Regions from separate parts of the Mus musculus genome. Here all the other regions are reported to be linked to region 2. The links are microRNA targets in miRTarBase. Many come from high-throughput screens and were not tested one by one. Region 2 holds a microRNA gene; each other region holds the end of a gene's coding sequence.
Evidence for each region. The annotated mature microRNA mmu-miR-374c-5p reads AUAAUACAACCUGCUAAGUG and lies in region 2 at 2,193-2,212, opposite strand. An mRNA with a match to its seed (bases 2 to 7 or 8) in the 3' UTR can be bound and repressed. Matches are read on the target gene's strand: a 7mer-m8 pairs with bases 2 to 8, a 7mer-A1 pairs with bases 2 to 7 and ends in A, and an 8mer does both.

Region 1: the mRNA of Ogfod1 is a reported target of mmu-miR-374c-5p. Seed matches in the 3' UTR shown: 7mer-A1 at 2,132-2,138, 7mer-A1 at 3,151-3,157 and 7mer-m8 at 3,825-3,831.
Region 3: the mRNA of Adcyap1r1 is a reported target of mmu-miR-374c-5p. Seed matches in the 3' UTR shown: 8mer at 2,375-2,382.
Region 4: the mRNA of Elovl5 is a reported target of mmu-miR-374c-5p. Seed matches in the 3' UTR shown: 7mer-m8 at 2,865-2,871 and 7mer-m8 at 2,852-2,858.
Region 5: the mRNA of Ceacam1 is a reported target of mmu-miR-374c-5p. Seed matches in the 3' UTR shown: 7mer-m8 at 2,392-2,398.
Region 6: miRTarBase lists Sec61b as a target of mmu-miR-374c-5p. Seed matches in the 3' UTR shown: 7mer-m8 at 3,522-3,528.
Region 7: the mRNA of Nectin1 is a reported target of mmu-miR-374c-5p. Seed matches in the 3' UTR shown: 8mer at 485-492.

What each region holds. Positions count from the first base shown.
Region 1 is chr8:94,063,755-94,067,821 of GRCm38, forward strand. Ogfod1 (2-oxoglutarate and iron-dependent oxygenase domain containing 1) reads left to right here. Exons shown (of 13, transcript NM_177767.4): 13 at 425-4,067. The coding sequence ends at 586. Among named protein-coding and RNA genes, the nearest start is that of Ogfod1, 29 kb to the left of the region's middle.
Region 2 is chrX:103,571,231-103,575,297 of GRCm38, reverse strand. It overlaps Mir374c (microRNA 374c), which reads right to left and starts at 2,213; the gene lies at 2,165-2,213. All of the region lies in intron 9 of Ftx (Ftx transcript, Xist regulator (non-protein coding)), which reads left to right. Mir421 (microRNA 421) reads left to right here and starts at 2,302; the gene lies at 2,302-2,377. It overlaps Mir374b (microRNA 374b), which reads left to right and starts at 2,144; the gene lies at 2,144-2,238.
Region 3 is chr6:55,496,800-55,500,866 of GRCm38, forward strand. It overlaps Adcyap1r1 (adenylate cyclase activating polypeptide 1 receptor 1), which reads left to right. Exons shown (of 17, transcript NM_007407.4): 17 at 184-4,067. The coding sequence ends at 372. Among named protein-coding and RNA genes, the nearest start is that of Gm34441, 38 kb to the right of the region's middle.
Region 4 is chr9:77,982,089-77,986,155 of GRCm38, reverse strand. It overlaps Elovl5 (ELOVL family member 5, elongation of long chain fatty acids (yeast)), which reads right to left. Exons shown (of 8, transcript NM_134255.3): 8 at 1,637-3,491. The coding sequence ends at 3,348. Among named protein-coding and RNA genes, the nearest start is that of Gm34829, 3.7 kb to the left of the region's middle.
Region 5 is chr7:25,460,049-25,464,115 of GRCm38, reverse strand. It overlaps Ceacam1 (carcinoembryonic antigen-related cell adhesion molecule 1), which reads left to right. Exons shown (of 9, transcript NM_001039185.1): 9 at 216-2,414. The coding sequence ends at 335. All of the region lies in intron 4 of 4732471J01Rik (RIKEN cDNA 4732471J01 gene), which reads right to left. Among named protein-coding and RNA genes, the nearest start is that of Ceacam1, 16 kb to the left of the region's middle.
Region 6 is chr4:47,482,620-47,486,683 of GRCm38, reverse strand. Sec61b (Sec61 beta subunit) reads right to left here. Exons shown (of 4, transcript NM_024171.2): 4 at 3,451-3,709. The coding sequence ends at 3,622. Among named protein-coding and RNA genes, the nearest start is that of Sec61b, 10 kb to the right of the region's middle.
Region 7 is chr9:43,803,246-43,807,306 of GRCm38, reverse strand. Nectin1 (nectin cell adhesion molecule 1) reads right to left here. Exons shown (of 6, transcript NM_021424.3): 6 at 1-3,835. The coding sequence ends at 3,291. Among named protein-coding and RNA genes, the nearest start is that of Gm46108, 14 kb to the right of the region's middle.

The DNA of each region.
Region 1 (4,067 bases), not on the chromosome of region 2:
AATACACATTTTATGACCTCAGCCAGTGTTCTTAGCTGATAAATCCATGCTGGCCTGCCTCGAGGTGGCTCTGATTTCACAAGAATATATGGGAGCTTGCAGTAACTCAGTAAAGCGAAAGGAAATTCAGCACACACTGTTGTGCCTTACTGAGAGCCTGAGTTAAGAGGCTCACACCCACCACTCTTTCTAGGGAGTTGGAAGCAAACACATTAGGCCAAACCGTTTCCGGGTTTGTGCTAGTGAGGCAGAGCTTGTTGGGAAATGTCTAGACAGAAACACACCTCTCCTAATAAAAAACTCTTTGGGACCTCCTCCCCAGCCTAAAGAGTCACTATGGAAACCACCTGCTCTGTGATGACTCCCCCGAGCGGAGCGGAAAACGAGCTCTGGGTTCTGACATCTCTCGTGTTTCCCGTTACAGCTGCTCATAGTGAATCCAGAAAACAACTCTTTGGCGTTGGTCTACAGAGACAGAGAAACGCTGAGGTTTGTGAAACACATCAACCACCGCAGCCTAGAGCAGAGCAAAGCCTTCCCAAGCAGAAGCGGCTTCTGGGACTTCGCATTCATCTACTATGAGTAACAAGATGGGGCAGAGCCAGCTAGCATTCACTCCACCAGTGCCAGGAACATGGGGTCTTCGTGGAGTGAGGGAGAGTGGGGCATGCTGGGTAACAGCGTCCTCCGAGCAGGCTGTCCTTGCAGGCTGTGTGGGTGCACACCTGTGATGCCAGCCTCGGGAGGCAGAGAAAGGGGACCTTCAGTTCCCAAGGTCAGTGTGGCTTACACGGTGAGACCCTGTCCCCAAGCAAAACAACTCTTGGTCATCCTTTCAGAAAATTCATCTAGACCTCATGCTAGAGCTATGTACTCGTCCCTGGGTTGCAGAAAAAAATGTTTTCCCCCATTGCAATTCTCTTCGTTCTGTAGTAACTGCCTTGGCGACTTTCTAACTTTGGTGATTTTTTTTTTAATTTATGGTGTATATACAAAATTTAGCAGGGTCACTTTTTTTTGGCTTAGAGTTTGGTTTGGTTTGGTTTGGTTTCTTTTGACAGGGTTGTACTATGTAGCCCAGGCTAGCTCTGAAGTACTGATTCTGCCACCTCAACCTCCTAAGTGCTGGAATTGCAGGCATGAGCCACTGCACCAGTTCCTGCATGTGCAGTCCGTGGAATTGAGCATACTGAAGTGCTCCAAAGCACCCGTCACTGCCATCTGGAAAACACCCAGACCTCATAGGAAGTGGAAATGGTTTTCTGTCTTCCCATAGGGGAGTGCTACTGCCCTTCTTTGATGACTGTTCGCCTCATGAGTGAATCGTGCAGTGGGTCTCGCTTCCTGATTGGCTTGTTTCACTTAGCACAGCGTCCTCAAGGCCTATCAGTGTTTTTCTTCTTCACTCCTAAGTAGTTGTAGAAACTTGCTGAGCCCGAGAGCTGTGACACACGGTGCTCCCACTGTGGGCTGAGCTCCACCCTGACTCTGAGGATAGGGTACCCTCGGGGAGGTAGTGTTGCTCTTTTGGAAGAGGTCTGCCTGAAACCTAACATAGCTCCAGGAATTCCATAGCTGCTTACTGCCCTATGTATTTCCTCTCGTCTACTGCCTTCCAGACCTGGCATCGTGGCTTCTCTGAGTCTAGCCTCCCAGTGACTATGCGTTCCTAAATGCTGGAAGGCCGGGTGTGGAACTTGCTGCCTTTCCCTTCCTTTTGAAAGACCCCCGTGCTAAAAGGCAGTGTCAGGAGGAGAAGTTCAGGAGGAGAAGCCCTCCTTTTGTCTCTGGTCTTTCCCCTGAACTGCTCCATGGGGCTGTGGCACAGCTCTTCCCATTGTGGGGGTGTGCATGATGGCTGAGAGATGTCCTCACACCACCCCACACCACATCTATTTGCTGCTTTCTTGGTTCCTGACTATCCTTGCAGGTTTCAGTGTGGACTTTACTTATCGGTAGGAAAAACGCTGGACCTTTAAGTATCTTATTCACACTTCTCTGACGTCCTAAAAGTCCATCCAAATGCATTCTGTCTTTTACATTGGCTTTCAATTTGTTTTGTTTACCCAGTCAGTAAAACACACTTTAACATTCATATCCTAGTAGATACTTACAAGTTTTATATGTTTTGGTATTAATCATAAAACAAAGTAATTTTTAAATAATGACATGAGAATATCCAGACCTAAACTGAGGGGACATACTTTAATCCCAGCTTTTGGAAGGTAGAGGCAAGAGGATTAAGAGTTCAAGACTATCCTCAGCCACACAGCGAGTTTAAGGCCAGCCTGGGCAGCAGTACACCTTGCCTCAAAAACAAAGATGGAGCCAGGAGTGGGAAGCACGCATCTTTATTCTAGCACTCAGGAGGCAGAGGCAGGCAGATGTGTGAATTCAAGGCCAGCCTGGTCTACAAAGAGAGTTTCAGGACAGTCAGAGCTATATAGTGAAACCCTGATTCAAAAATTAAAAACAAAAGACTCTCCAGACCTAGTTTGAGAGTTGTCTTCCCACGCCAGGCAGTGACCAATGACAGGCTGTTGCCCACGCATACTGTTGTAGACTCCACCGCACTTTAATCCAGAGTAGTGCTCAAGTTGGACTACGCATACTTTGTTGCTAACGGTTACTTTTGAAGCTTGCCTTTTCTGAACTGCTGCAGACTAAAGGCAGGCCCACTCCCCCACCCATCCCACCCTCACTCCCCACCCCCCATTGAAGTGCCTGAGTGGGAAGAACTCTGAAGGGTCCCTCTGTCTTTGCAGAGCCTCCTGGTCTGCAAGAACAATAGAACCTACAGGTTGCCTTTCTGCTCTAGTGAGCAGCTGCGTTTTTCAGTTGCCATGTGCCGCATTGTTGATGTATGGGTGAGACAGATGGTGTATGACAGTGAGCCCGTACGTCTACAGTGGAGCTGAAAGATGCCTGAATTCCAAATCACTCAAAGTCACCGAGAGGCTAGGGAGAACAGGCAGCTGTGCACACAACTGTCACTCACAGGCCACCACCTTATGTGTTCACTCACATGACCTGCTCAGAGTGTGTGCTGTTAAAGCGCTAACTCCCATGTGCAGACAACACAGGTGGAAAGCAGTGAGAATGAAGACAATCAATAAGTGTATGGGCCTGTGTGTGTGTGTGTGTGTGTTAGTATTAACAGAAAATTCAGAAAGGTTAAAAATGAAAATAACTCAAAATATTTTTGTACAGCTATACAATATAAAGTTATAAGTCAAAGTTTAAAATAAAGTTCTATTGCATAAGCTAAGGCTATTGAAGATGGAGTATTTTTAACGTGTCGTCCATGTTGGAAGGCAGAAAAGCTTCCACTTAGTCTGTCCAAGAATACTGTCACGTTTGCACAAGTGATCTTGCCTCAGTTTGCAATTGCTTCATTCTTGATCCTGATTGCTTGCTGCTTTGGGCATGGGGCAAGAGAGTCAAATGTGGGCTCTCAATACCTCTTGTTGGTAAAAGCTATGCTGCTTTCTGTGTGACCAATGGCATGTCTCTCTTAATAATGAGCCTCTAATTCTTTCTTGTTTTCTTATTGATTGGTGTTTTCGAGAAGGGTCTATGTATACCCTAGCTCTCTAATTGCTAAGATTCTAGAGTACCACGGTGTCCAGCTGTGAACTTCCAGTTCTCATAACTCCTTTTCCTAAAGGTGATATTCCCTCCAAAGATAACAATACATAAACAATGCATGTTCATTGTTGGGAATTTAAAAGTGTGGAAAAACACATAGGTCAGCTGAAACCCCTTGCCACCACCCTTTGACAACTGTGTGCTGCCGTAAGCGTGTCAGCATGGCCACCCTGCCCTGTATTAGGAAGCATGGCTCCTCTCTGCCCTCTCTTCCCTCTCTCCTGTTGGGTAAATACAAGGTTGTAAGGCACTTTGTCAGGCTGGGCTCAGAGGGAGCCACTAAGGCCGCCGCTGCAGACAAGAATGAAAACAGTTTTCAGTGGCTCCTTAAGAATAAAAAGGAGCAGCCAGAGATGCGTTTGGAGATCTGTATTCCAGCTAATGCTACCCCAACTGATAGACTGCCTTTAGATTTGTTT
Region 2 (4,067 bases):
ACCCTTGCATATCTAATATATATGTAGAAAACAAGCGCAGGAACTCTGGGTATGTGGGATAGAGCATTTTGGAGGATGTTCCTGTTGCCTGCTCATGGTAGAGCATGTCCCCAACATGTGTGTTACAAAGGGCTTAATCTCTAGCACAAAAAAAACAGGCAATATTATTCACTTCTACATTTTGTTTTTGGAATAGCTGACAATGAAAATTACAAACAGTATTTTATAAACATAATCTGTAAATGGGAAAATCACATCAAGGATACATTCCCTTTGTCTACCTTGAAATGATCCAAGGCCAGCCTTGTCTACAAAGCCAGTTCCTGAACAGCCAGGGCTACATCGAGCAACCCTGTCTCAACAGGGTAAACAAGGAATGAAAGAAAGATTGATAGTCTCTTACTATGTTAGGTAATGTAGCTTTTATGCAAACTTTAATCAGTGGTTCTGAAGGCTTAAGTTTTCAGTAACATATTGTTGGAGAAATTTGTATCCAGACATCCTTATTGGCCTTGAATTCGTTTAAAGGTATTTTCTGCTCCTTGTCTAAGGGACTGCCAGAAAATGGGTTATACTGCAAGGTTGTGTTTAGTTGAGTATGGATGAGAATTGGGCTCAAGACACTGGAGCTGCTGTTCATCTTCCTACTTGGCTCAGAGACATGACGATTTATACCAGATTGTCTGTCCATTTTAAACTTCTAACTATGAATATAGATACACCTTAAGGGTCTTCAATTTCAAGGTGCTTATTACCCTATAATCTTAAACCCCAGGCTAAGATTATTTATTGATAATGCTGCCAACAAATGTCTTTTAACTCATGAGTAACTTTTGTCGGGGCTACAAGGGGTTTTTTAAGAGTCTGTTTCCCTCTCAGATCACTTTTTCATGTTGATCTAAATGTTTGTCCACAGTTCAAATCATTTATTATTATTATTATTCAGTTCTCTCAGTAGTCAGGATATTGAATTAGTCCCAAAGATGAGAGATATTCAGGTATATAGATTAAACCTTACAGGCTGACTAGTTACTCGCTAAGAGGTTTGGGGTAGGATATATGGAGGAGAGTTTTACAGGGAAGGAATTTTTTGTCATGGATAGCTGCCATCCTCTCATTCCTTAGATATACATTTAGTTTCTTCTCCATAGAAGAGCCGTATCTAGGAACTGCCAATCCTCAGTAAGACACGGAGATAGCAGCGGTGCCCCATCATTCTCATCTGAATAGTCTCTTGTCACTGGCAGGCTTTCTCCTGAACTTTATTTTTCTTTTGAAGTGTTTAGAGACTTGAAATGTTCATTGCTTTACTTTGAAGCATCAGATATGTGTAATATCCACTCTAGGGTTTCTGATCTCAAAGCATTATAAAGCAAGGCATGTTGGCACATGCCTAGAATCCCAGCATTTCGGGTCCTTATACAGGAAGACCATCTTGACTTTGAGTCCAGTCTGGGTTTCATAACAAGTCCCTGACTGAAACAAACAACAAAATCTATGAACATGTTTTCTACTCAGACCTATCGTATTGATCTTTACTATTCAAATAATGCATTTATAATGAGGACAATTTTACTTAAGTAAATGGTTCAGATTTGGGAAAGGAAGCTCTGAAGTGTGCATGCAAACAGTGACTCTAGGGTTTGGGCATAGGCATTAGCTGGCCTGTTTGTTAATTGCGTCCACTCAATGCTATCTTAGTTATTGTTGCTGTTAATGATGGAGCGGGCAATGCAAGAATTAAAAGAAGAAAGTTAATTATTATTATACCTTTTGAATGGTCAATGGTGTTGTGGGGAGGGATCATGGACGTTTTTAATGATTCACTAATGTGAAGTTAGCCCATGTAGGAAACTCGATGATTCTTCCATTCATGCTCTTGATTAGTAATCTATTGCCTTTCTTCTTTGTTCTAAGTTAAAAGCTTTTGAAAACTTGTGTTATAGCTGAATAAAGGTTTTTGTATAAACACAGAAAAGGATGTTTGGGGAATGGTCACAGTTGACCTGAAGCCGAATTCTAACTGATAACTAGCTATGTTAGTTCTTGTGACTGTCATCCCTGGAGAGCAAGAAACAACAGCTGGCCTTGGTGATCAGGAGAACTTCATGGATCGCGCAGCAACCTGGAGTGGTGTTCCTCTGAAGAAATCCTACTCGGGTGGATATAATACAACCTGCTAAGTGTTCTAGCACTTAGCAGGTTGTATTATCATTGTCCGAGGTTATGGCTCTCGTCTATCAAACTAATCCGTAAGGGCAAGGATGGTGACTTTGTACTCACAGTGCCTAATCCGGTGCACATTGTAGGCCTCATTAAATGTTTGTTGAATGAAAAAATGAATCATCAACAGACATTAATTGGGCGCCTGCTCTGTGATCTCCATGGGCTCAGCTTGTTCCTGCCAGTGGCCTTCAACGTTCAAGCTCTCCGCAGCGTCCTTATTTCTGCAGCTCATTCCTGTGTTCTGTGTAGTATAATCATAGTGGATATATTTTACCTTTCAAACCAATTCCAATTGATTGATAATTGTGCCTCGACTGTGTTTTATAAAAAGGATTCCATATCTGGTTCTTTTCTATCCTGAGGGTGTGGAAGGAAGGGATAATAGCTCATGTACCATAAATGTGATATTTTCTATGAAATACTGTATTTATGCCTGTGTTTTGGAAATGCCTGCTTGTCATTGTTGCATCTCTGTTGTTGTTACTATAATCGCTACCGATTACTCCCTAGGTTGGACTACAGTGATCACTGAGTAGGAGCTTCGTCTTTAAAATCTGGGGTGTGCTGTTATGGTTGGTATTCATTTTCCTTTACCCGCTTTCCCCATACCTCCATTTATAATTTTATTGCTGCTCATAGCTCCAGAAGGATATAGTAACAGAGCAGGCATGGCCTCAGTGTGGTAAGCTAAGTGAGAACAGGAAGTGGAACCAGGGTAGAAAACCCCAGTCTTGCCCCTAGTGACACACCTCAAGCAAGGTTCTCCTTCTGAAAGGTCCCATTACATTCCCAAATGTAGCCACCACCTGGGATATGAGTGTTCAAATACATGAGGTAGGGCCACGGTGTTCCTTCAAAGCACCACAGAGGGCAGAATGTACACCCTGCTAGAATAGCTTTCTATGAAAGGATCCATCTCTTCACTGGAGCAGGCAGACATATGAAGAAGACAACTTGGAGTGGTCGTGAAAGGATTTGAGGTTTGGCATGGACTCTAAGAAGCACGAGATTTGTGGTTTTCCTTCTTTGTTTCTTGCTAGGTAGTCCTGGCTGTCTAGTAACTACCTACAAAGATCAAGGAGACCCCAATCTTGTAGCAATCCTGCTGCTGCCTCACAATTGTTAGGATTATAGACATGGGCACATGTTCATTAGAAAGTTGCACTGTTCTCTAATTCATCTTTTAAGATAAACTATAGAGGGATGAAGATTAGCATGTTACACCACCACAGATAGAAACCATTCTAGTATCACGAAACATCCAACTCATGTAGAATTTCCATTCGCTGTTTGGGATGATAGAGAGATGGAATTGAGTTTTTAGAAGGTAAACCACACAAGAGAGTCTAGGGAACTGACAGAGCCTGGCTGGACTGCACAGTTCGTCCTCAAACGACTTTTTACTGACCCAGCTCCTGAGGAAAGGACCCTGGTGTCTGAACTTCAACGCTGATTTAATAATCATTGTTTTCATGACTGGTCCTTTAGAAATCTGGCCTGCTTTATATTTGCCCCTGGGGCTTAGACAAGGGAGAAAAATGGAAAATACTGTCCGAGGTAACCACAGCCACACAGAACCTCATACACCAAGTGGTTAGCCTTATCATAGAGCACAGGTGCCTGTTCTCAGTCACATGCTAGCCCTGTCTTAGGATTTTGTTTACATTAACCATTCTATTTCACAGTATTAATGTCCTTATACACAAGATACACAGAAATCTTTGTTGTGTTAGACATCAACAATGAAAAATCCCTCAGGCCCAAATATCAGAAGATAGCACGAAAATACCAAGTCAGAACGAAGAGGGTGGCCAGTGGATTTGAAGGTAGATGCAGACTTT
Region 3 (4,067 bases), not on the chromosome of region 2:
CAACAACCGGTGTTGGAGAGGCCCAATCAGCAGGAACTTTGCCAAGACAGAGCAGGGCAAAGCTGATGGAAACAGCTGGGGTGTGGGAGGTGGGTGGGCAGCCATGATGCGATGGCAGCTGGTGAAGCGCCAGGCCAGTTCACAGAAGGTACTGGGAAGCCACATGAATGTTGCTCATTGCAGGTACAGGCAGAGATTAAGAGGAAATGGAGGAGCTGGAAGGTGAACCGTTACTTCACTATGGACTTCAAGCACCGGCATCCATCCCTGGCCAGCAGTGGAGTGAACGGGGGCACCCAGCTGTCCATCCTGAGCAAGAGCAGCTCCCAGCTCCGCATGTCCAGCCTCCCGGCCGACAACTTGGCCACCTGAGCCCTGTCTCCCTTCTTCTTCTGCACAGGCTGGGGCTGCGGGCCAGTGCCTGCGCATGTTTGTGCCTCTCCCCTCTCCTTGGGCAGGCCCTGGGTAGGAAGCTGGGCTCCTCCTCAAAGGGGAAGAGAGAGATAGGGTATAGGCTGATATTGCCCCTCCTGTTTGGGTCCCATCTACTGTGGTCCACTGAGCCCAATTTGATATGTAAATACACCTCAAATTTGGAAAGTTGCCCCATCTCTCCCCCCCAACCCATGCCCCTGCTCACCTCTGCCAGGTCCCAGCTTGACCTACTGGGTCAAGGCCAGCCTCGGTGATGGCCTGATCCCAGGTACAAGGCCTTGTGAACTGAGTTTGAAACATGCCTGCTTTGGAGAGACTGGGGCAGTGAACACCCCAGCAGCCTTTCAGCAAATTGGCTTTGGACATGGACCCTTCTCAGCCTGTACCAAGTACTGCAGCTCAGTGTCATGAGCATCCTTTGGAGCAGGTCAACCTGAGGCTCCTTTGGCTTACATCTAAGTTGTCCAGGTGCTCAGCTCCTGTGTGCCTGGATGATGAGAGGGCTCTAGGGCTCTTTCAGTCAGAGACTTACATTGAGGTGGGGTGAGGGTCAGAGAAAGTTCTGGTGCTTTTCCTGTGCTCTAAGAGCTGAGAGCCAGAAATGCAGATTCAATTTGGAAGGAGATGGGATAGCTGAAGAACTTACCACGTCCATGACTGTGCCCTGACTCAAGACCGTATCATGTGGTGGCTTTATTTCTACACTTCTTGCCCACCATGGATGGCCTGAAGAAGCTGTTCTCCAGCCACAACAACCACAGAAAGCCCCTCGCTCTCCCCTCTCTGTTTTCCCATTAATCAAAGCCATGTCTAGAATGGGCCAGCCACCTTGCAGTAAAATCAATGAGTTCTGAAGCAACCTTCAATTTTCATAAGCCAAGTCTTGGGTCCAGGGAACTCCACAGTGCTCCCACCCCCACCCCCTCTACTGATTACAAGGAATCCTACATGCCATCTTCAGCCTGGACTCAATTACTAAACTCGGATTTGTCTGCAAGACTTTCTCCACGTGCCCTTGACATTGGAATCACTTGTGGGGCCTCCTAGGGTGTTTGGAGGTGATATGGTGTCTATCATGTGCATAGGCAGAAGCTGCTGGTAGAGGGAGTGGTGGCTTTCTAGTGCCCATCTTGGCTCTCCAGCTGCAAGTTGCACAGCCATAACCTAAGACTTTAAAATAAGGCCACACCCAGATTTGGGAAGGTAGAGGGGGAAAAAAAGTAGTGCCATGGGGCCACGGGGCCCAGCTTATTCCGTGTAGATGCTTGTTTTTGTCCCTGCCTCCGAGGAACTTGTTCATGATTGTGCTCTGAACTGCATGGGGAGTGTGGGGTGCTGCCTTGCTCGCTGTTATATTAAGTAGAAGGAGTTTTAGGATATTCGAGACAGTGCTTCTGGAGGAGCCATTGGAAAGACTGGAGAAGATTCTAATGGATAGGATTTAGAGATGTGTTCTGTGTTCTTGACCAGTGAAGTATGCTCTTGGGTCTTTGGCAAAGCTGGAAAGAGAAAGGGCCTCCTTGTTCTTTCCCAGAAACATTCAGTGGCTTGGACCAACCCCTGAGTATATACATTGGCTCTTTCCCCCCTGTACCTTATCTCTCCCCTCCATCCCCTCCCCTGTTCTGAGAACCAGGTTATCAGCCAAACAAGAATCAGTTGATCCCCTTGCACTTTGGACACTTCAATGGAGCCTGAGCTGCTTAGAAGCCTTGGTTCAGGATTCCAGCTGGGTTCATGACTGTGAACACAATGTGCCCTGTGCTGGGCCACAGCTTCCTTGTTTATGAAGTGAGGTGGTTTCTAGTGCTTTTCCAGGTTCTGCCTTAGTTAAAAACTAAGGCAGGTAAACAGAGATGAATCCTTGTGAAAAGCATCTAAGGGGTGTGTGTGTGTGTGTGTGTGTGTGTGTGTGTGTGTGTGTGTGTGCGTGCATGTGTGTATTAAGAGGGATGACATCCTGTTTATTTTCCCATTTGGATGCCACATGGTATCCAAAGCTGGTAGAGCAGCTATCATGCCTCAGGCCATGGACATTTGAATGGGAGCCTCAGGCATGATGTGCAGAAATAGCCTTCTACACCAGGCAGGGACAGGTTGCCTGTGGCCCCCTCAATCTGAGGTGCACCCCTTGGGCTATGGACCCCATTCCCTTGCCATCACCCCCGCCAGTGGGTCTGCTTCACTGTGGAAGGAGAAACTGTGACTTTCTGGTTGCATTACTGCAAAACAGCAAAAACCGAATAACCCGAGCCCTGCTGCTTTCTGAGCCCTGGGCCTGTGTCCTCCTAGAACTTCCAGGTTCCCGTTGCTTTGTTTTTCTGTCTGAAGGAATCTTTTTCTTAGTCTTGTGAGCAGATGTACCTGAAGGATTCTGCTGTTCCATGAGGGTCTGGCTCTCAGGCTGTAGGCAGTGATGGGGCAGCACAAGGCTGGATAAATCCCTTCCCTATTGACCTTCTTACATAGTGCAAGCAATAAGACTTATTGATCTGTGTGTATCCCAGTGTTCCTCTGGGGTTCTGTCTAAACACCAACCATCTTCTCTTGGAATGGGCCCCAGGCAAGGCTTGCAGCAATATAGCCTGGACCCAGAAAAGGGAAAACGATAAGGAAATTCTGTCTGGTAGGTGCAAAGGGCTTCATGGATTTGGAAACCTGGAGGCAGGAACATAGCAGATTTAAGGGGTACCCAGCTGTGGAAGGTCATTCCTGAGAAGTGGGGGCTTGTTTTATGAAACCTTAAAGGCCAAACGGACTGTCCCATTTTGGGGATCAGGACATCCCTGTCCTTATCTCCTGTCATAGCTGTCCAACTGCAGGGTAAGGAGCAAGTTGTGAGGAAAGGTCCTCAGAACATGGGATTCCACATGAGGAATCCTTAGGCTGCCAGGAAGCCAGAGGGGTTTAGAGGTGCTCAGCTTTGAGCCCCAGTATGCACTATGCTTAAGCTCTGACGACTCTTGCGTGCAGCGAGGAGGTCCTCCCTGACATGCTCAGCATCCCGCAGTGATTCCTCTCATAGCTCTGGGATGGGGCTTGGTTAGGGTGTCGTGATGGAAATAAACCTGAACCTGTTGCCCAGTACCAGGGCCTCTGCTGTTTGGTCTTCACTCTCTCTTCCTTGGAGGGAAAGCTACAAGAGACTCTCTTTTTAATTCCTTGAGTACCCTTTGCCCCACTTCCAAGAGAGGACAGCAAGTCCCCTGACACTGCAAATTTCATTTGAGCCTAGGGAGCTGGGAAAACAGTTGGGCCTAGTCTGTTTTTGAATTGCATTGCATTGAGTTGTACCGGTATTGCACAGCCCTGCGTGTGAGCCAGATGTAACACTCCAAGCAGCTGTGAAATGCAATGTTCCTTTTGCAGGAGTGGCTGTACCTGCAGAAAGCCCAGGGGTCCACAGTACAGTGCAGGAGAAGCAGCTGAGTTGGCCTGGTCTAAGGATACCCCCTAGCAAACTTGGCCCTCTCCATCTGTTCTGGGACTCTATACTTCCCTAACCTGGATCCCTGCTCTGCAATGAGGTGGCCGTGGTTACACCATCATCTACCCTCTAGCTAGGGATGAGGTGGAGGTAAAATGCTCCCTGTGAGTTTGCAAGCTCTGAAAACAACACCGCTGTGTGCTCA
Region 4 (4,067 bases), not on the chromosome of region 2:
GATGAAAGCTGTTTTCTATACAATCCTGGTTGGCCTGTAACTCTAGGCTGGCCCTATTTGCCATCATCTTCCTGACCCTGTCTCCTGATTGCCTACGTACTCGGCTATTTTGATTTTTATTACTCTGATTTCTGTGTCTTATGTTTTTCTTTTGTTCTGGACTTAAGGGAAAAATACTGATTTGATTCTATCACCATTAGCCAATCTCCAATGATCCCCTTGGTCATCCTTTAACGTGCCATTTACTAGTGTTAAGTGTTTTCCAGGAGATCTTGTAAGCTGTTATTTACATACACAAAAGCTCCAGCTTGTACTTCCAGCTGTGGTGGGAAGGGGGGGGGGGAGGAGGATGGGGCACTTAAGCCGTAAGCCATCAGTGTCACTGTGAGAGATGAAGCATTCAAGATCACCTGCTTCCCAGAGGCGTGGATAGGACATAAAAGCCTCAGGTAGGTTGGGAGGGGCAGGATTTGGAAAAGCAACCATTTGTGTGTGTGTGTGTGTGTGTGTGTGTGTGTGTGTGTGTGTGTGAATGATGAGACTTTGGGATGAAGGAGGGAACGCACTTGTCTCCGGCGTGTGTGTGTGTGTGTGTGTGTGTGTGTGTGTGTGTGTGTGAATGATGAGACTTTGGGATGAAGGAGGGAACGCACTTGTCTCCGGCAGACTCAGCAACTCATGACACGGGTCTTCTGTTTTTTTTTCACACAGAGTTCCAAGGCAGCCACACCCATTTACCTTCGTGCCTGTGGCTGTTTTGTACTCTACAATGGCTCAGATGAGTAGCTTCCACGGAAACTGGAGTGCTCCCTCTCTTGCTCTTCACAGAAAAATGTGCAGACCTACTGCCTACAACGAGAAGTTACTCTAACAGTCTGCAGATGAGGGAAGAGCATGGGATGCCAGGAAGGAAAGGAGGATGCAGGAGCGTGCTCAGAGGTGAACCCTCTAGCAGGGGTGCAGGGGAGGAGCTAGGGTTGTTGGAAGACACTGAGATTTATGCTCTGGGGTCCTCTGCCATGGGAGGTGATAGCAATTCTTGGTTGCCAGCTTGACCACATGCAGAACTGACTACAACTCAAACTGACTACGCCAGTGCTGGATTTTGTTCCTTAATCATCTGAAGTGGGAAGACCCACTTGAGATCTGGATCTCTGAGGTAGAAACCCACCTTTAATCCAGGCCCTACCTGCTGCTGGCAGCCTCTCTCTAAACAGGACAGAGAAGAAGGAAGCCCTCTTCTCTTTGCCTGCTTGTTCTCACTCTTGCTAGTGAGTCCACTCAAGCAAATCCTTCGCTGGCATTCGACGCGACTGCTCTGGAACCCGTGTTTCCTGAAGAGCAGCTGAGACATTTAGCCTCGTGGACTAAACAGCTACTGGATCCTTGGATCCTCTGTCTGTAGATAGCCTTGTTGGACTAGCTGGACCACAACCTGTAAGCCATTCTAATAAATCCTCCCCCCACCCCCACACTCATTCTATGAGTTCTGTTTCTCTAGAGAGCCCCCAACTGATACAACCACTTTCCACGCTACATTACTCATGTCCACTCCCTAAGCTCCTACAAGGTGACAGAGTTGACCATCCTGCAGTCTTTCAGAACTGTCAGCACATCAAACAACAGAAGACACAGCACGGGTAATCAAAAAGGTTTTAATGATTAATGTTTAGACATTATTTAACAGTGTGGGTATATCCAGATGAGCTAAGCACACTTTGACAGCACACTATCAAATGTTATAATTTTTGTATTGAGATATGTAAAGACACCTGCAGACGGGTACCTAGGGAGAAGACACACACATACACACATTCTAGATCTGACAAGGGAAATGTAAACAGATGCCGCAACTCCTTCCAAACAGAAAACCCACAAGGCTAATTAGGACCAACTGGCTCCTTGTAATATGAATGTGCAAAATTAAAGCATGGTAAACTGGTATTTACATAAATATCAAACCCACAATTAGTTTATACATTGTCAATCATCTCCTAAGATGTGCCATGAGTGGTTCCATGGATTTTTTACCAATGCAGAAGGTATTCAAAGGCTAAGCTTTCAACACTTTAAAAATGACACACATGAAAAGAGTCCCCATTTGTATGACCGATGCCTCGAGCGCACTAGACACGATTTTAGGATAAGCAGTCCAAGCACTTTAAACCGATCTTTAGGTGCTAATCAGAAAAAAATTACAGATGCCACCATGATTCACACTGAAAAAAGCGGTTGCTCCCAAACACCCAGTTCCTGCGCGCTCCAGCTCTTAAATTTTACCTCAAAATGCTTATGGTGCTTCCTGGTCTCTTGGTAAATTAGGCACATTTTAAAAGGAAGTGTATGTCAAAGTAGCACTACAGAAAAGAATAAAAAAAAATGTGGACCCAGGTAACCAGTCCCTTATCACTGTGTGTGTGTGTGTGTGTGTCTGTCAGATAATAAATGTCTCGTCACCTTTCCTGAAAGGTAGTTCTCTCTCTCCAAGTGGTGGGAAGTCGAATGGCCTTTTTATCTCCTGTATAAAAACACTAAGCACTTCAGAAGTGAAAAGTGACCTACTCTTATAGTCACCCTAGCCTCTGGGGGACCAGGGACAGGTACGTAAGTGTCTCCAGACGCTTTGGACCCTTTCCCCACCTCTTTAAACACATTAATAGTGGCACTCAAAATAAAAAAATAAGATCTGTTAAAAAGTTAAACTGACTGTTCCACTAGACTTGAACCTGCTTATTTAAAGCCATCGTTATAAAACCAAGGGTGCCATCAGATTTCGCATCTCCAAGTCACTTGAAGTTACACATCACACACTTGTTTCATAAATCATACATTTGATTTTTCTAAACAGAGCTAATACAAATGAATAATACAAAGTTGAAACATACCCTAATTAAACTAACAAGCTCTGGGCCCTGCTTTTTTAAGTCTTAAGGCATGTGTGTTTTTCTACTGTTAACAACATTGTACAAATTTACAATCACATGCATGGTCTACAGTTAAAAAAAAAAAGTTTGGATTACAGTGTTTTAAATTGTGAACCACAATTCAGCACCTATCGTGTTACAACTAATAAGGCAACAGCAGTGTTGTATACTACAAGAACATTCCCTTTCCACAGTCTAGCGCGGGGGTCGATGAGAGCCCAGAAATGTGAGAAAATCGTATGCCTACTTTGTATAATCTGTATACATATTCTAGGGGTTTTGAACTGATGAAGAAGGTCCTACATGAGTCACACTGCAGATAGTAGGGCCAGACTAGTGACAGCAGCTGCTATGAGCGTCAGGGCACAAGTCACGCTGTGCTTACAATCACACGCCGCGGTCTGGAGGCTTCGGCTCGGCTTGTCAATCCTTTCGCTGCTTCCTGGGCTTCACGCTGTTTTCCAGGGAAGGGAAGCTGTTGGTGTGTCCGTTGACGGCGGCCACAGACCCGTTCTGGTGGCCCTTCAGGTGGTCTTTCCTCCGAGAGGCCCCTTTCTTGTTGTAAGTCTGAAATGTACAAGGCGAATCAGTGCCTGCTAACCAGATGAACTGTACCGGTCTGTATCTCACTAGGCCTGGTTTCCTGGTCTGATCAGTCTCACCACGTATTTCCTGTGCTCAAATAACCACTTTATGTTCAATCACCCTTGCGACTTTTTGAGGCTTAGCTCAGAGGTTCTGACCCCCTAGACCACAACAGAAACACTTAGAACACCGAGTTTCTGTTCATTCGGCTTTGCCTCTTCAGGATGTGGATGGTGGAGCAATGGCCTAGGGGACCAAACTGGCTTCTCCTCCTGGCTAGTAGCCACTCTACATCACAAGCCATTACTTATCTTTATGTTTTTCTTATTGCCTCAGTAACCATCATGTACAGTACAATGGGCACCAGGAGCAATTGGAAGAAGGTCCTATTATCAGGCCCCGGCAAAGCAGGAGTCAACAAGTCACACAAAGCTACGTCGGGGGCACAGAAGACAAACAGCAGCTGAGTCTCCTCCTGGTGGCTGTCCACACTACTGGACTTTTCTTGGGACCCGTTACCTTTGCTCTTGCTCCTGCCCAGGGGACAGTGGGGACAGA
Region 5 (4,067 bases), not on the chromosome of region 2:
CTGTCCTCCTCCCCAGACACACATTGCTGTCACATTTCCTACAGAGGGCAAAGGCAGTCTGACAGTGCACATCCTCGCACACATCTGGCTTTCATTCTGCTCTGTAGCCCATCTGGATGTCTGACTGTGAGTGACAGGAGCCCTCTCCCACCGCTGCAGCAAGGTGAGGCTCAGGCCTGTGGTGCTGAGTCACTGATCAACTCTCATCCTTTCAGGTGGATGACGTCGCATACACTGTCCTGAACTTCAATTCCCAGCAACCCAACCGGCCAACTTCAGCCCCTTCTTCTCCAAGAGCCACAGAAACAGTTTATTCAGAAGTAAAAAAGAAGTGAGCATAATCTGTCCGTCTGTCCTGCTGGCTGCACCAGTGATGCATTCCCGGATTCTGTTCCTCACTGGAGGGTCTCAGCACACACACACACGTACACATGCGCGCGCGCACACACACACACACACACACACACACACACTTACACACACACTCATGCATTCACTCTATTGACTCCTTCAGTGTCTATAGAAGAAAAGGTGGATCCTGGAGCCTACAGAAAACTCAACCCTTCTAGGCTTTCAAATTTGGCTGAGAGTGAGGTATCAAAATTTCTCACCCTTTCACTTTCCTGACCCAGATTGTTGAAAATTGACCTATTCAGAGCACCTTCATTCCCCTCCCAACTCCAAGTCCTGCCCTATCAGAGTCTGACTTGAATTTCCATAAACCTTGGAGGTCACCTAAGTGCTTACGCCAAACAAAACAAAACAAAACAAAACAAAACAAAACAAAACAAAACAAAACAAACCAGAAGCAGGAAATGGCCAGTCCCATATCTTTAAAGGCTGATTGGAAGCCACCATACATGAGAAGATCAAACCTCCATGGGCAATCTACACACCCGACAACTGTCATGCTTACCCATCTGGGACATTCGAGTCTCTGAACCTTGTGCCCTCACGCCTGAGCCCTTCTCTGAGCCTTTCTCCAGAAAATCCACTCACAGCAACTAGAGAGGCTCTTTGTCAGCAACTCCAAGCAAACTGCTAGGCAGGATTCAGAAGAAAAGACAGCATCTCTAACATCCACCAGGAAGGTGCCCAGAAAAGCAGAGCTGGTGACTTTGGACTGACAGACATCTGGAGTGTGAAAAAGCAGCACAGAGCTAACCTTCGGAGAGTGTTGAAATTATTTGAAAAGAAGCCATATTTGGAGGTATTGGAGTTTTCCTCTTTCTGAGACAATCCACTATTTGAAAATTGTAGCTACTGAATTGCCTCTCAGTATGCGAGCTGATCACTTTGCCTTAGGGCCACTAGATTTCTGTCTCCCTTAGCCCCTCAAGCCCTTTTGATCATGAGTTCCAAACCAAAAATAAATAAATGAACAGTGAGGCAGTCCCTTGCAGTACCACTGTCATGGGTCAGGCTAAGCCTCCTGCTTTTCTGAATTAGTCAAGAAAAGCCTTGGTTTCCCTTTTTCCATCTCTTTATCTTGTCTTTCAGATACTGGCCAGAGCCTGGACACTCTTCCTCTGAGATCTCCAGCTTCTCTGCCTTCTTGTGTTTCTTTTAAACTCTAACAAAAACTGTTCTCACCTTCAAAAAATAAAATAATAACAAGCTTTCCACATCCCCACCAAAGAGGGACCCAGCTAGGTTTCTGGAAACCCAGCACCAGCCTCCAGCTGCCCTTCTGCAGTGTTTCTGCCTCTGTTTCCCTTTCGTTTTGACTTTTTTCCTTCTTTTGAGACAGAGTTCCAGCATGGAGCCTGTGCAGGTTTCAATCCCACAGTAACACCTTCTGCAGCACCCCACCTGCTCAGACTGCAGCCCTGGCCACCAGGCCTGGCTACCTGGACATTCTGTCTGCCCTGCACTCTCAGGAAACCTTGGCCTCTGCTACTGTCTGTTTGGCTCATTCAAAGTGTGTCCTTAAAGGAATGCAGTCACCCATGCCAGAGGCAGTGTTTACAGCCTGGAATGCTCTGCACTTCCAGTGGACCAGTGCTCCACCGGAAGTGGGCTGTTAGCAGGGTCCTCTCACCTGGCCCTGGCCTTTCTGTAGCCTTGAATCCTGCCTTCCCCACCAGGGCACCAGGGATGAGTGCAGCAGCAGGAGGAGAGGCAAACAGTCACCTCAGGAACCTTCTGAGCTAAGGCACACCCTCTGTGCCTGTCAAGCAAAGGTTGTATTGGATATCAAGTGTTTGGTCTCACGCCAAGCCAACAGGCTTTGGAGAGAATTAATTAGTTCTCCTACTCAGGGATTTCTTTCAGTCCTAACACAGCCTGTGTATATTTTGCTTCACCCACGCAATGCTGGATTATTTAATTTTGCCCGGCTTAAGACAAATCTGAGTTACTTGTAAATTTGCTCTATGTTCATAATAAAAATGTATTATATATCACTGATAGCACTTTGTGGGGTTTTCTGTCTATTTGTTTCTGGTTTTGCCATGCTTTGGATGGAAGCCAGGGTCTTGCATGTGCCAGACACACGCTCTACAACTGAGAAACTGACACAGAATACTAACAAGAAGGGAACAGGAGGTGCTGGAGAGAGTTCAGGGGGAGGGAACATGTGGAGTTGTTTGTGAGTTGAAAGCTGCATTATTGCCTTTGAGTGTCTGGAGCCACTTGGGTGGGAGGAGTGGTTTACTGTGGTGGAATCCCCAAGGCTTCAGCCACTCAAAGGCAGTACTGCAGCCCTCAACTCAGAACAATCTCCACACTGAACTCTCTCCAGAACCTCCTGTTCCTTTCTTGTTACTACGCCCTGTCTGTCCTCTTAAACCTCTGACCTGAATGAGTTGCACAAATTAATGCCATTGAGTGTTACTCTATCATTTCATGTCCTTCATTTGCAAGCCATGCAAATGCAAGTGTGGCCTGCCCTTCCCCACCCCATTTCCACACCCGAGACACTGGAGGCAGCGCAGACTGCACTGGGATGGGGTCAAAGGTGTGCTAGCCTCACATTGAGTTTTCCATCATCTCAGACCTCGGTCAGAGATGCTGCATCCACCACCAACAACATATTGCCCTGATGCCAGTCAGTTCTCAGATGCTTTCGGTGTCCCCTAACCCACCCTCCGCTCAGCTCGAAGATCTCAGCCAATGGCTGTTGCATGTATTTCTCAAGCCCCTACCTCCTCCTGGAAGTTATAGCACCTGCCTTCAAATAATTTTTCATTTAAAAAGGCTCATGGCCCTCCGCACAATAATTCCTTTATTTTACATTTATTTTATGTGTGTGTTAAAGCTGTTTGTTTTTTAAACAGAGTCTCCCTATATAGCCCTGGCTGACCTGGAACTTCATCTGTAAACCAGGCTTCCCCTAAACTCACAACAATCTGCCTGCTTCTGCCTCCCAAGTGTTTGAATTAAAGACAGGAGCATCAGACTGGGTCCCCTAATGGGTTTTTTTCAACCATACACATATTGTATGTCAAGTATGTTTTCACTTCCCCATCACACCCTCAAGTGATTCCTAAATTCTCATCAGATGTATCCCCTACAACCCGATCCCCTCTAGCCTACGCACACATATAAATCTTCGTCCCAGTGCTGTGCCCAAGACGACAAGCAGCATGCTTCTCCCTTGTGGTTACCCACACCCTTCGTCATAAGCAGTTCCACACTGAGCATCCAAGTGAGGACAATAGATTCAAGCAGGACACAAACTGTGTGTGGTTGACAATGTCTCCCTGATGGCCAATGTATATTTTCATGAAAGATACAGAAATGAGAAGATGGGTCCTTTCTCTAGGGAACAGAAATCCCTAAGACAGAAGACACAGATAATAACAATTATACAAAATTTGAAAGGGACAAATGTCTCAAACAAGACAGAGAAGTTAAGAGCTGAGGGGGCAGCTCAGAGACAAAGCACCTGCCCAGGAGGGTGGGGCTCTGTGTTTGATCCCTAGCACCAAAGGAGTTTACAGAGAAATCTAATGGAAAACAGAAAATATGGCTACATGCTGGAATCATTGAGAAATCTGTTAAAAGTGCTCAGGCCCCATTCACAAACTCTACCTTGTGAGGGCCCCTCTCTGTGTGGTGTCTCC
Region 6 (4,064 bases), not on the chromosome of region 2:
TCAAGAGTATGTTGTCAGCCAGGCCTAGTGGAGTATACCTTTAATCCCCAGCACTTGAGAGGTAGAGGCAAGCGGATCTCTTTAAGTTTGAAGCCAGCCATGTCTACAGAGCTACCCAGCACCCTGTCAAGAACAAGGGCACACTCCCTGCATTCATGAGCTCCGCAGGCTCTGCAGTACTTCCCAGCAGATGCAGCCCAGAATTATAGACACCTTTGGGCATTTCAACCTAGTGCCAACATTTGCATGATTTCAGAATGTCTTGTCCAACTCCTGTGGGGTCCTGACCCCTGGAATCTAGACTAGAATGGGCGTAGGAACAGGAGAGGCACACAGCTGCCATCATCCCAGGCCCACCGTGTTCAGAGTTAACACTAGGACCCCAAGATGTCCCATTCTCAACTAGTTTAGGGACTCAGGCACTGTCCCCAACATGGCATCTCCAAGAACTTTGAAGGCTCAGCCTAAGCTAGTGTGATAGCAGTTCACTTTGCTGGGACTGCTGCCATCAGAAGCCGTTAGAATTGTAACCCACATTAAGGGGCCTGGAAGCATCCGTCTCAGGGCCAAGAACACCGTAACTCAAGTAAAGATCTAATGTGTTAGGATTTTACAGGGGCTATAAATAAAAGCCAGGGGTGGTGATGGCACATGCCTATAATACTGAGGCAGAAGGATTAAGAGTTCAAGGATAGCCTAGGCCACAGAGGGAGTACACACACACGCACACACATTATTAATGGCTCCTAAGCATTATGAGTTTAAAAAATAATTTTCAAAAAAGCAGCATAAGAAGTAGCATACATATATAATGAAATTATCTCTCTGCCTAGAAAGAAGCAAATTCTGGCAAATGAAATCCCATATGGAGGACATAATGCCAATCAAATTAAGGTCACAAACACGACAAACACTGTGTGACTCCACCTGTAGGAAGAACAGCCGCACCATGAAGACAGTGATGGCAGTCAGCTGCTCGGAGAGGGCAGTTTTGCAAGATGACAAGTTTGGGAGGCAGATAGAGAGAGCATCCTACAAGATAAATGTACTGAATACCACTGAACAGTAAGTTGAAAATGGTTAAGATGAAAAATGTTATGTTATGTGTGTTTTACCACCAAAAAAAATAATTTTTTTTTTCTGATAAAAAAGAAAGGAATAGCTTGAACACCACGTCTCTCAGCAACAGTATTAGCATTGTACCGCAGAGCCAAAGGCAGCTTCGGAATACATGCTGCACATCTTTCCATCCAACTCCCAAGCTCCCTTCCTTTCCTTCTGCTGACTGAAGCTTGCCCATCCTGCCAGTGAGAGCGCACATACCTTATAACTCATTGGCTCGGAAAACGCATCAGGTTTCCCGCTACCATTGGGGACCAGGCTAGCCAAGCCAATGCAGCAAAGAAAGCCATGTGGTTGTAATATGTCTACCCTAGAGACAGTTAACAGACACAGGCACACACACACACACACACACACACACGTTTCTTTTCCAAATTAAAGTTAATAACTTTTAGTTTTGTTTGGTACCTCTAACTGGCTACGGGGGAGGGTGGGATTCTATTATGGATATTGTTGTCTTTTTTCCAAATGAATCGAACTCTGTTTCCTGTGTTTCAAAAAATAAAAACACCTGTTTAGTGCAGTAAGATATTCACAGAATCCAAGAAAACCAGTTTTCGAGCCATTTTCCCTCAAATAAAATGTCTGCTAAGACTTAACAAGTGTAAACCTACTGATGTCGCCATAAGAAATCTTTCATGGAGCTGGTGAGACGGCTCCTCAGGTAGTGGAGCTCGCTGAGAAACCTGATTATCAGAGACCCAGAACATCCATGTGGAAAAAGAGAACCGACCCCCCCAAGTGTCTCCTGCCCTCCACACATGTGCCTTATCATACACTTACCACCCCGCCCACACATAACTAACTAAATTTAATTTTTAAAGATAAATCTTATGACGAGACATAATGTAGCATGTACAAAGCTCTGGATCTGACTACTTGTAACATAAAAGACGGGAGACTAGTTAGAAAGAGGAAGGAGCCAGCCAGCAGAGGACAAGAGAAGAGAGCAGTGACTAAATACTTTATGCACACATATAGAAATACCAATGAAAGCCAGCATTTGGTACAATACACTACTTAGTATCTCAGGCAGCTATGAGCCACCTGGTGTGGATGCTGACCTCTGCAAGAGCAGCCACTACTCCAGGCCAAAGGTTGATTTTTAGTTTTTAAGTCTGTGCATCTGGAAGCCAGAAGACAGTGTTGGATGCTCTGACCTGAAGCTGTAGAGTTTCGAGCCATCTGACGTGGGTGCTGGGAACAGAAAGCAGGTCTTCCGCAGGAGCAGTGCACACCCTCAACTGCTGCCATTCAAGATGGCCTCAAGATGTTTTTTACGTTTATTTCTCAATTCATGTCTTTATTTTACTTGAGGGCATACACGTAACATGACTCATGTGGAGATCAAAGAGCAATTTGTGGGGATCAGTTCTCTCCCTCCACCATGTGGGTCCCAGGGACTAAACTCAGATCATCAGCAGACAGTTTGCCCCACTTGGGCCATCCATCCATTCCCATGGCCTGTTTTACAGATGCAAAACTTGCACGTATCTTCAACATTGATCTTGGTGGACAGTCAGTCCCTTCTTCCCTTCTCTCTGGGCATCCCAGTGTGGAGCCTTTGGTTCCTGGACTGCCCTGCTGGGGTGATTCCCAGAACAGTAAATGCTATTTGTACTCAGTGGGCAGCACAGGGGAAGACAAATCCCAATATTTACTTTTGGACACAATCATTTAGATAGTAGTATATAAGTGCTGTCTCACTCCTGTTACAAAGTCTTTATTTTTTAAAATGAAAACAAAATTATACCAATAAATCCACTTTCTCAAATCAGTACTTTCAAAGTGGGTTTAGAAATGAGAGATCAGTGGGCAGAAATCCCCAAGGGACATGTGAACAAGAGAAAAAGCAAACAATTGCCTGGATTTTAGACACAAAGAACTGAATGAGCCAGGGCTGCTCAAGGAGTGGAGGCAGGAGCGTGGCAAGCTCCAAGAGTCTGAGCAACACAGCGAGACCCCATCTCAAAAAAGTAAAAACAAAACAAAACAACAGAATGAGCCGACGCCCCAGCCAAGACTCTTGGTTTCTGATTTCTTTGACTCTTTACCCTCGGCACCACCTGTCTCACATACAGATCCCTGATGGCAGTCCAAGGCACACTTCTTGAAAACCAAGTACCCAAAATGACAATCACTAGCACAGAAATACCTTGGGAAAAACATGCCAAGGCCAATTAGAGCATCTTGAGTTTGAGTGACTACATGGTTGTAGGAGGAACTGCCAATCCTGCAAAGAATGAGCTCTGTAAGAAAGACCTATTCACTGCTACATCTTAAGGCAGAGGGCCCTCACAATAAAGCACAGGCAACCAGTCTCCATATAAAGCAATTCCAAAGTTTATTAGCCATAGAAAAAACTGATTTCTCAAAGTCAATTCTTATTCTCTGTAAAATAATACACGTGAACAGAAAATCACTACACTTTTGGTCCAAGATATGTTGGGTTTTTTTCCTTCTTCTTCTTCTTCAGATGACAGATGGATGTAGCCCAATCTATGATCGCGTGTACTTGCCCCAAATGTGCAGCATAAATACAGCAGCGATGAACAGAAGACTCATCACCAGCACTGGGACAGGGCCCCTGGGAATGAGAAGAGAAGTCATGCTTACTTCAGTCTCAAGGTAGGCTTAATACTCACGACTGCCGAGGGCAGCACATTATACACAAACGACGACATCGGATGTCCTAGAGATAATCCCTCAGATATGCTAATTTTGTGTACTTAATATGTTCTACAATAAAAAGAAAAATTTCCCAAACTCTTATGCGCAAAAAAATCTATTTGCAAACCTTCTCAAATTAACATGTATTGAGACAACCTTTTCCGTCTCACTACAGTATGAGACATACAGGTGAACTAGCACAAAATGCTTGTGAATCTATGATCGAATTCAACCTGCAGAAGCTCACGCATCTCATGAGTGAGACAAGTATT
Region 7 (4,061 bases), not on the chromosome of region 2:
AAAGAGGAAAACAGTGACATAGAAACTGAAGCAAAGGAAGCTTAGTCACACTCAGGCGAGGGTGGCAGCTTCTCCTGGATTTTGTTTCCATTTGTTAAAAAAAAAAAAAGTCACCCTCTTCCCCCCAGCCCACTCTTCACAGCTGGGGTCAGAAAGCAGCATCAGCGAGGCTGGTTCCTCACCTCTCGGTGTCTCCGGCCCAGGTCAGCTGGAGCCACCTGCCCTCACCAGGAGAGGGTTTCAGTTGGCAGTTAGGCTTGGGGAAGTCTCTACCTGGACTCCTCCAGAGGCCTGGGAGCACCCCCCTCCTCCCAGGAAAGGATGCAGTGTCTGCTGGGCTCAGAGGGGTGGCCTCACCCACCTGACGTGAGTCCTGATTCTCCCACCTGGACGATGGCAGGAAGGTTATTGCACCAGTGACTGGGGCACGCTGGGGTGGCTGGCAGAGGGTGCGCCTTCCCAGGGCTTGGGGCCCGAGCATTAATTAATACAGGTTTCTCGTTTATGTGTGTACTTGTGCACACACACACACACACACCTGTGCTTGGTCTGTGGAAGGCGTGTGTTGGTGTGCTGGGCGTGTGTTCACTAATTGTGTGTTGCTGTATTTCAGGTCCTTCTGGTAAAAGAGACTCAGAGGGTTGTTGCACACCAGAACAATACCAAAATCTGTAGGGAAACAGGGGTCCAGGGGCAGGGGAGGGACAGGAGGGGGAGGGCAGCTAGGGACGACATCCGGAGGGGTCTGGGCAGGTAACACACCAAGTTTACTCTCCGCAGTCTGGCAGAAGCTCAGCTGTGCTGGGGGGGGGGGGCATGAAGGTGAAGCAAAATGCCCTCCGCTCTGTCACACTGTCAGCTGGCTGTGTCCACTGTCCCGCAAACACAGGGCAAGAAAAGCCCCTTCTCCTTGGGTCCAGCTACCGACCCCTGACTCCTGTCCTTTCTTAGCCCAGGTGGCGGCCGCCTGGAAGCGCTCAGTGCCACGGCTGGGGATCCTAGATCCTGCTGCATGGACCCTATAAATTGTGCTTTGCTTCGGGGAAAGGCGTGCAGGTTTGTACAGGGAGCTTAGGTGCTTTGTCCAGGCCCAGGGCCTCCTCGATCCATCACAAGACAGGGGATAGGGGATGACCGTGAAAGGTGCGAGAGACTCGGGAGGGTGAGTCTTTCAGTCTTATGGCCCCATAGGGACAGAAATACCACTCTGGGGCAGTCAGGGTTCTGCCTCCTGCCTTGGGGGTGGGGGAGGGGGACCAAGGAGAGGGGCAGAGTGGTATGAGGAACAGGATGAGCTGTGACATGGAAAGGACACTAATACTTCTGGGAGAAGCAGCCCAGCTCCTCCATCTTCCTTCTCCCTGTGGCTAGAAAGGCCCCAGAATTTTCTTCCCCAAACTTCACCCCATCCAGTGTCCCCAATGCCAAGACGGAGAGCCGCCCCAGGGCTGGCATGGCTTCAGACTTCTGCTACGTGGCTACTGGGCGGCCTGGGCTGGGACTAGGGCAGTGAGGGCCTGGCAGAAGAGCCCCAGCTGGTGGGCTGAGTAAGGGGTGCCAGAGATGGCGCTTGGACTGGGAACTCAATAGCAGCACCAGGGAGGAGTGGGGTGTGGGCTGGGGCTCCCTTAGGAAGCCTATGGCAGGGTGGGTCAGTGCCCGTAGGGCACAGAATGGTCTGCCTCCCTCTCCCCAATGTTTGTGATCCCTCAGCGAGTGTCACTTAGGGCTGAGTTGGCTGAGATCCTGACAGGCAGGCCCTGGGAATGCCCATTTAGAATGAGGGTAATCTGGGGGCACAGATGGAGAAACCGAGGCACTTTGAGCTTGGGGACAGAGGGCTGGGGTGAGGTGGGGTGGGGAGACCTTTTTCCATGCACTCAAGGGAAGGCCCAGCCCCGAACGGCTGACAAAGCCAGAATCCCATTCAAAGAGGGAGACTGCATGCAAAGGCCCTTCTACACGGCCATCTTGCCAGTCTGGCACCAGGAGAGAGTGAGCAGGGGTCAGTCTGTGGATACGCAGCAGGTCCCCGGTGCCCCTGCACTTTCTTTGAGACCCGAGACACATCTAGGCCAGCCTTCCCATATGAGACGCTAGCAGTCCCCCTTCAATTGTGTTTGCAGTTTCCACAAAGCAGCCTTCTCCGTCTCAATAATTCTGTGCCTCGCATTCCTTCCTGGGATCCCAGCCCTGACTTTCCAGAAGAGTCAAGTGTTGCTAGCACTTGACAGATAAGGAGAAATCCGAGAAACATGTACATTGTCAGGAAAGGTTGGAGCTACACTGAAATTGTAGAGTGGCTTTGGGGGTGGGTGGGTGGGTGCGGGAGGTTCATCCTAGCTGACTCTGAATGCTTCTGTGGGCTGATCCCTTCCTGAGCTGGGAACGGGTAAGAGGTGGAGCAGAGGGTTGGGCCTCGGGCAGTGTTCAGCCTGGGCAGGGCGTGAGAGGTTGGCATAGGCCCAGGGATGTGTGCATGGATATGTGTGCATATGTTGGCAGAGGCATATAGGAACTGTGGGTAGAATCCACCTGGGGTCACCCACTGTGTACAGAACGGACTGGGCGTTAACAGAGAGGGGTATATGAGAGCTACGCCAACTCCATTTGGGGGGCCAGAAAGAAAAAAAAAAAGAAAACATAAAACCACCCTCACCAGGAAAACACACTGCCCAGGACCCCAGCAGAACCCTCAGCTCCATTATTCCCCACACAAGACTCCCCTGGGTACCACGGAGAACTCCTCTAAAACCTCTTAGGTGCACTGACTGCATCAGCTTAGTGGGGGCTTGGGTTACATCTTTCTGAGAAGAGGAGCAGCATATCGGGTGGGGGTGAGGGTGCTCTCCATCTCGAAGCTCCCTTTGCCCTCCATTCCCAACGGAGAGAACACAAACAAATTCCAGTGTTGGGGGATGGGGGTGGGGGGGTGGGAGAGGACTGGCTCCCCAAACCCTGGAGGGATGCCCAAGTACACAAGACAAGAACAGGGCTCCCTACACACAGGGCAGTGGAAGGGGTCCTTAAAGGAAAGGTACAGCAACACCAAAGCCACGGTCGAACACAACACCAGGGGGAAGGGTGGGTGAGGGAGGAAATTAAAAAAAAAAAAACAAAAAACAAACAAAAAACAAAAAAACGAAGCCAAGTGGGGTCTGCCCTGAGCTCCTCTGGCTCCTCAGGAGTTTGGGGCTGGTTTAGGGCAGTGGGCTGTGGGGGTGGGCAGGGGGGCGTGCGGGTAGGGGCCTGGGAGAAGTGGGCACAGACAGAGGCTCCAGAAGGCGGGGCTACACATACCACTCTTTCTTGGAAATGAAAGACCCGTCGTTCTGAGAAACCATGTTCTCAGCCAAGTCCAGCTGTTCAGGGTCATACTGGTAGCCCAGAGTCCGGTCCCCATAGCCGTCCTGACGGGCCTCAGCCTCATCCACAGTGAAGTAGGGCCGTTTGGCGTCCTCGTCATATTTGGGGTGGGGGCCGCCCACCTTACGTTCGCCTCCTCCACCGCCCTCCTCCTCCTCTTCCTCCTCATAGCTGCTCCCGCCCAATGGGCCGGCCTTCTTTTCATCATCCGAGTCATCCGGGTACTGCAGGTTCTGTGCCATGGGCGGGTGATGCTGCGGGATGCCTGCCTTGCTGTAGCCGTTGCCGTACACGTGCTTCTTGGTGCTGTAGTCACCCTTGAAGGTGTGCCGGCGCCTGCGCAGGGCCACTATGATCCCTCCGACCACAATCAGCACCAGCAGGACACTCCCTGCCACGCCCCCAATGATGGCTGTGGGCATCTGCCCGGCGCGCCGCCCGTGTTCAGGAGTCGGGGTGTAGGGGAATTCTGGGTGAGGAAAAGAGATGGAGGGGGTTGTGTCAGTGTCTGCTCTTCAGAAGTCAGCGGGGGTGTAGGGAGGCAGGGGAGGGAAAAGCCCAGGACAGGATGTCCACACCCCGAGTTTGAGCAGTTCTGATTCCAGAGGCCCCTTAGCACCCCACCTTCCTGAGGTCAGCTGCAGCACTGGGAGCCAGGCAGGCGAGAGGAGCAGAGGCAGCTGATGTACCCAGAG